2 linked regions of the Saccharomyces cerevisiae S288C genome follow. Each later gene encodes a partner of the first gene's protein in a complex. Each region holds a gene or a part of one and is shown in the gene's direction. Other genes may lie near its edges.

Region 1 (3,760 bases):
AAAAATACCCTGGTCCTTATTTATTCCACCAAGGTCTAAACCCGTGACGTAGAAAACAAGCAGCCTGACAATCTTAAACTTCCATAAAAGCCTTCTTGCTACTTTAGACCATGGTGAGTGATACGTTAAAAGGAACATGCCCACCATCAGCATCAAGCTTCTCGGTGGTAAAAGTAGCCAGGTTATCATCACGTATATTGGAGATAATATGACCGTAGTATATAGAAGCCGTTGAATATCTTGCGTTCCAAGGTTAACCATGGGGGAGAGCAAAATATCTGACTTCAAGGATACTCTGTTCATTAAGAGAGCAATATCTTCTAATGTTGGTGAGGAGCTCAACGTACCCTCAATATAATTGTCCAATAGGGAATAACCCCACAAAATAGCAATGATGGCAAGATGTCCAAAGTACTTCACCAGCGTTTCAAAATACTCAACGGTAGTAATAAAGAGACACAGCATCAAAACACTGCTCCAAATATTCTTTCCTGTCCATGTAACAACGTTTAGGAATTCGTCAATGAGAATTAAATAAGGGTACAATTTCACCAACGCCTTTGAGATTGTGGGCGGTGTTGATGTCAAAAGCGGCGAAGTAGCTACGTTAACTTTCTCCAATGACCCGTTATCATTATCCTCAGACACCCCGCTTTCAGCTTCGTTCTTTTCCAAAGCAGCTCGTATCACTTTTGTAGTATTGCCACCAATCCTCGGTTGCAGCGTCTCTGCAAACTTGGCTCTAGTCTCATGCACGTTAGTTGTGTTACCACTCATTGAAAATCAGTTTTTACACTCCGGAGGATCAACTAGACAGCTCGAATCCTAAATTGCAACCTTGCATGCCCACTTTACCTCAGTAGCGAACGTATCCAAGTATATATTTTGTGAAGCTGATCCAAAAACCCTTTAGTCCTCTTCCCGCTTCTTTCCGTGCAACCGGAGAATAATAAGAAAAAGCCATGCGCATCTCTATCTGAAGTGGACTCAAGCTAAAGCCATCGAAAGCTCCATCACTTAATCAAAGCTCCAGGTATTCATGTTCAGAAAGAGATTAGTGAACAAAAGCTCTTCTGATGAAAAGAACCAGAAAAAGAGGCAGAAAATTAATTTTAGCGAAGAGAAACTAGTGGCCAGCGATGAAGAAAAGGGTTCCAGTGACCTCATGAGCTTAGCCAAGAGTGGAAATAGCAGGACACTTCAACTTTCACATGAGAATGAAGGTAAACTACAGAAAAAGGGTGAGGATTTAGATAAATACACTTTAACGGTCAACGACGACAGCACTAAAGAAGATCTTCTAAACTTTGAGAGAAAAGAGCTGGCTGAGAAGGCAAAGAAGAGGCGACCTAGTGATGACAATGAGCTGGTACTGAACATGAGCGGTAAAAATAAACGCCTCACTAAACAGATTAACCAACCAACGAATATCCGGACCACGGTGCTGATGGATTTTCAGCCCGACGTTTGCAAAGATTACAAACAGACGGGATACTGTGGTTACGGAGATAGCTGCAAGTTCTTACACTCGAGGGATGATTTCAAGACTGGCTGGAAGCTGAACCAAGAATGGAATGCGGATAAAGAGGACTCCAAAGCGGTTACTCTAGACTTGGAAAAGATACCGTTCAAGTGCACTCTTTGTAAGGAAGATTACAAGTCTCCAGTGGTCACAAACTGTGGCCATTATTTTTGTGGATCGTGTTTTGCCAAAGATATGAAAAAGGGCACCAAATGCTTTATATGCCACAAGGAGACCCACGGCAGTGCAAAAGTAGCATCTGACTTACAGAAGATGCTAAATAAAAGGAAAAGTTGATGGAGAATGCCATATCACCCCAAAAATTACACGCACCCGATGCTAATGTACAGGAATTATAGAGCACATGACCCATAGATTTATCGAGCATTGTTGCAATTTCGAAAGACTCTTTCACATAATAAAGTATGTAAACTATATAGATAGAAGATGTCCCGTGTCTTTTTGTCTACTAAATGATGATCTGCTCATTTAAAGTCGCCGCGACTACTTTGACAAAAAAAAAAAACTTAGAAAATACGACAAATAGAGATTATTGAATGAAGTACATTGAAAAAAGAAAGAAGAAAGGCACATAGCAGCACACAATGTCGCACCAAAACCAGCTTATTCCACAAGCTTATATTTCTAACTTTCATAACAGATTGACAAACGAAGATGATGGTATCCCCATCTTTACAATGGCTCAACAAACAAGGCAGCATAAAAGGGCTAAAGTGGTCAACTATGCGGAATATGACAACGATCTCTTTGATGAATTCAATATGAACGGTTCTAATTTCAACAATGCTGATACACACTATAAAGATAATGCAGTGTCTCATGAAAATACTCCGGCACTTACAAATGGTGTTACCATGGACGGTTCCGAATACAATGTCCTAGAGAACATGAATGGAGCTGATAGTATTATCTCTAACAACAAATACGATGCGGGTTCAAACATGGTTGTGGAATCTTTATCCGGTTTGAATAGCAATAACAACGCCAGCAATGGTCCGAGCAACAAAGCGCAGGCACAGGATATTGGAAACGCCGTTCTACCGGATCTGCAAGACCAACACCACAACCCCTTCAACATATTGAGATACCCTAAAATAAGAGATACTTTCATTAACGGAAAAGTGGTGTCTCCATATAGACTCAACACTGATCAAGAAACGAAGGCAAACGCCAATTCTGGAGAGGCAATCATGATACCAATTACTTTGGATATAGAACATATGGGTCATACCATAAAAGACCAGTTTCTCTGGAACTACAATGACGACTCCATATCTCCGGAGGAATTTGCCTCTATATACTGTAAAGATCTTGATATGACTTCCGCTACCTTACAAACTCAAATTGCGAATATAATAAAAGAGCAGTTGAAAGACCTCGAAAATATTGCAGCCACTGAGATAATGTCTGACCTCCACGTGATAATCAACCTAACCTGCAACTTACAAGACAGATTTTTTGAAGATAACTTCCAGTGGAACTTGAACGACAAATCACTTACTCCAGAAAGATTTGCTACATCCATTGTACAGGACCTTGGCTTAACAAGAGAGTTCATCCCCTTAATATCTCAATCGCTTCATGAAACTATCTTGAAGATAAAGAAGGACTGGGTAGATGGCCACTTGATTCAGGACCATGTCCCAAACGATGCCGCATTTGGGTACTTATCTGGTATAAGGCTGGATATTGATGAACTGGGCTCCAATTGGTGCCCAAGGGTGGAAATATTAACAAAAGAAGAAATACAAAAGAGAGAAATTGAAAAAGAAAGAAACTTAAGAAGATTGAAAAGAGAAACTGATAGATTATCTAGAAGGGGCAGGAGAAGATTAGATGACTTAGAAACCACAATGAGAATGTAGTAACTTTGCTTTTCTTGTTACAGAATTGTATTATTATAAGTATTATTAATCAAACGGGAAGGACAAAAAATTTAACAAACGCAGAAGCAACTAAATCAAGACTAAAGAGAACGTAAAAAAAGTCATGCACTTCTTTGAGATACACGTTACCAAAAGAATACAAAATGTTTATCACCAACACTGATAGATCTTGTTTCTATTTGGACTAATTCGCAATTTGACATATATGACATATATTACGGAGAATTTTTAAATATGCTTATATTACATGTGTATAATTTACGTATTCTTGAAGGTTTTGAAAGGTTCAGACGCCTCAATTTTTCCTATATTACTTTCTATTATCTTTATT
Region 2 (3,720 bases), on another chromosome or scaffold:
CTGGAAAAGTGATTGTTTGGGGATGGACATTTGACAAAGAAAGCAATTCTGTTGAAGTGAATGTTAAGTCTGAATTCCAAGTTTTAGCAGGTCCAATCAGCGATATCTCCTGGGATTTTGAAGGGCGAAGACTCTGCGTTGTGGGAGAAGGTCGTGATAACTTTGGTGTTTTCATATCCTGGGATTCTGGTAATTCCTTAGGTGAAGTTTCAGGTCACTCACAACGCATCAATGCTTGTCATTTGAAGCAATCTAGACCTATGAGATCTATGACAGTTGGAGATGATGGATCTGTTGTCTTTTATCAAGGACCTCCATTTAAGTTCTCTGCCAGTGACAGAACACACCACAAACAAGGCTCATTTGTCAGGGATGTTGAATTTTCACCTGACAGCGGTGAATTTGTTATTACGGTAGGGTCTGACAGAAAGATTTCTTGCTTTGATGGCAAATCAGGTGAGTTTCTTAAATACATAGAGGATGATCAAGAACCAGTTCAAGGTGGTATATTTGCACTATCGTGGCTTGATTCCCAAAAGTTTGCTACCGTAGGAGCAGACGCTACCATTAGGGTTTGGGACGTCACGACTTCAAAATGCGTTCAAAAATGGACCTTAGACAAGCAACAACTGGGAAATCAACAAGTTGGTGTTGTTGCAACAGGAAACGGAAGGATTATTTCTCTTTCACTGGATGGGACCTTAAACTTCTATGAACTTGGACATGACGAGGTTTTAAAAACCATTAGTGGTCATAACAAGGGTATTACTGCTTTGACAGTCAACCCACTAATCAGTGGGTCATATGATGGTAGGATTATGGAATGGTCTAGCTCTTCCATGCACCAAGATCACTCCAACTTGATTGTATCATTGGATAATAGTAAAGCGCAAGAATACTCCAGTATTTCTTGGGATGATACTTTGAAAGTGAACGGTATTACTAAGCATGAATTTGGATCGCAACCAAAGGTTGCTAGTGCGAACAATGATGGCTTCACTGCAGTACTAACAAATGATGATGATTTGTTGATATTACAGTCTTTTACGGGCGATATAATCAAGAGTGTAAGACTGAACTCACCAGGCTCTGCCGTTAGCTTGAGCCAAAATTACGTTGCAGTTGGTTTGGAAGAAGGTAATACTATTCAGGTATTCAAATTATCAGATTTGGAAGTCAGTTTTGATTTAAAAACACCTCTTCGCGCAAAACCCTCGTACATATCAATTTCGCCATCTGAAACATACATCGCTGCTGGAGATGTTATGGGCAAGATATTGCTATATGATTTACAATCAAGAGAAGTGAAAACTTCAAGATGGGCTTTCCACACCAGTAAAATCAACGCCATTTCATGGAAACCTGCTGAAAAGGGAGCAAACGAAGAGGAAATTGAAGAGGACTTAGTTGCCACTGGTTCTTTAGACACCAATATTTTTATTTACTCCGTCAAAAGACCTATGAAAATCATTAAGGCGTTGAATGCTCACAAGGACGGTGTTAACAACCTTTTATGGGAAACACCATCTACCTTGGTTAGTTCTGGTGCGGACGCTTGCATTAAAAGGTGGAATGTTGTCCTCGAGTGAGATAAGAATATAAAGTAAACAATTACGTAACCTTAGAAAAATAGATATAAAAAAGTTTTACACTGTTTTTACCACAGTCCATATAAACTTGTAATTATTACCCGAATGCTTTGATTACTTCGCTCTTTTAAAAAAAAACCCGTTCGAACTATTAAACATGTTACTGTGAGCAGACAAAAATATTGCAAGAAAACAGCTTTATAAAGTTTAAGCATTACTGAATACAGTACATTTACTTTTGAAGAAGGAAATACCATCTAGCAGAAATGTCAGATTCAGAGGGAGGTCTAGCTTCCGAAGTTGAACATGAGAAGCGGTCAAGATCTACTAGCAACAGACCCAATTATGCAATTGATACTGAGGATTTAGATATTGATGAAAATGATGAGAATGAAGATGATGATTACAGAGAAGAAGAAGCCAATGAGGGAGTGAATGAAGAAGAAATAAGTGATGAGGAGGAACAGATAAATAAAAGCGGAAGAAACAAAAGGAGGCACGTGGACGAAGAAGAGGATTTGTCAGAGGATAAAGGCGTTACTAGATCTAGAAACCGTTCAAAGTTCAAAAAACCAGTATTTCCCGGAATCGATGATGCTGAGGAGAACTTAAATCCTTTGAAAGTGGTCAATGAAGAATATGTTCTACCAGATGATCCTGAAGGTGAGACGAAGATAACTGCAGATGGTGATCTATTAGGAGGCAGAGAATTTTTAGTGCGCACCTTCACATTAACTGAGAAGGGGAATCGAAAGTTTATGCTGGCCACCGAACCGGCTAGGATAGTGGGTTTTAGAGATTCATATTTATTTTTTCAAACTCACCCCAACCTTTATAAGTTCATTCTGAATCAAACTCAAAAGAACGACTTGATAGACCGTGGCGTTTTACCTTATTCATATAGAAATAGACAAATCGCTCTAGTCACCGCTAGAGGCGTGTTTAAAGAATTTGGTGCTAAAATCATTCGTGGCGGCAAACATATAACCGATGATTATTATGCTTCTGAATTAAGAACAAAGGGAAATGTAATTGAAGGAAAACTTGCTGGTGATCCTATTGATAAATCCGCAAGGGCCTTAGAAACCATGATGTATCCTGCTTCCGAGAATGGCATAAACCCTGCAAAAAACCAGGTGGAATTCTTTGAACACAGGCCACATGGTCACATGAGTAATTCTAATATTATTGCATCAGGTAGTAAGCTGAGCTCTACAAATTGGCTCTATCAGCATTCTGCTGCGTGTAGTAGATTTAATAGCGATTTGTTTTATGATAGAGTGAAGGTTCTTCTTGTAGATCAACAAGGCTTGAGAGATGCATACACAAATATATTACACATACCAGAATCCACACAGTCAACCACTGTTTTAGGATGGAGGAGATCAAAAAACGATAGTCCCAGCGACACAAGCATTGTGTATGAGACCGTTATACACGATAACGATTTGAATAAACCGAAAACGGGACTGTCGGAAATCCCGAAAGAGATCTATGAAGACGTTGTTGATGAAGACGTTTTAAGGGCTATCACCGAACAACAAAATTTCGAAAAATGCAACGAATATATTTAGTATACTCAATGTAACAATATAACAAATTTTTATCTTCAAATCAAGGTAAAAAAATTCATATATTCTCACTTTCTTTTTCTTTTCTTGACTATTCATCTACATATGCATTTCACGCGTAAATAGGTTGATCTACAAACTTTGAATGAATTTTTCCATTGGCTCGTTGCCATTTACCAACGAAATGGTTTTTTTCACTGTTGCATTTGGATGTAGCAAGCTTTCCACAATAAAAGAAGCTACATCCTCCCTGTTAATGGAGTAGTTAACAGAAGCCTTCTCTTCTAATTTGTCAAGGGGTTGCAAAAGACCGGTACCTTTATTTAGTTCCAACGATCCAGGCTGTAAAATAGTGTAATCCAAATTAGAGTTTCTAACCTCACGATCAGCAGATCTCTTTGCAATATAGTATTCACGCAAACCCTTAATGTTATACCAAAAATCTCTATCCTCCGCCTTGAGCGCTGAAACAACAACGAACCTTTTGATACCAGCCTTTTCGCATGCTTCAACAACTTTGATACAGCCATCCAGATCAACCGTGAAAATTCTTTCCATTC

What was found. Proteins that work in one complex are often made in the same cells at the same time.
Region 2: SFH1 (region 1) and NPL6 share a complex: the UniProt entries of both Saccharomyces cerevisiae proteins name them as parts of the two forms of the RSC complex.

What each region holds. Positions count from the first base shown.
Region 1 is NC_001144.5:776,232-779,991, reverse strand, and holds SFH1 (Sfh1p), read left to right. Parts: upstream 1-2,127; coding exon 2,128-3,408; downstream 3,409-3,760. Other genes in the region: PEX30 (peroxisome biogenesis protein), read right to left, coding at 1-777; U2-type spliceosomal complex subunit CWC24, read left to right, coding at 1,040-1,819; MMS22 (Mms22p), read right to left, coding at 3,688-3,760. UniProt on the Saccharomyces cerevisiae protein: Component of the chromatin structure-remodeling complex (RSC), which is involved in transcription regulation and nucleosome positioning. RSC is responsible for the transfer of a histone octamer from a nucleosome core particle to naked DNA.
Region 2 is NC_001145.3:449,501-453,220, reverse strand, and holds NPL6 (Npl6p), read left to right. Parts: upstream 1-1,855; coding exon 1,856-3,163; downstream 3,164-3,720. Other genes in the region: AIP1 (Aip1p), read left to right, coding at 1-1,589; YMR090W (uncharacterized protein), read right to left, coding at 3,293-3,720. UniProt on the Saccharomyces cerevisiae protein: Component of the chromatin structure remodeling complex (RSC), which is involved in transcription regulation and nucleosome positioning. RSC is responsible for the transfer of a histone octamer from a nucleosome core particle to naked DNA.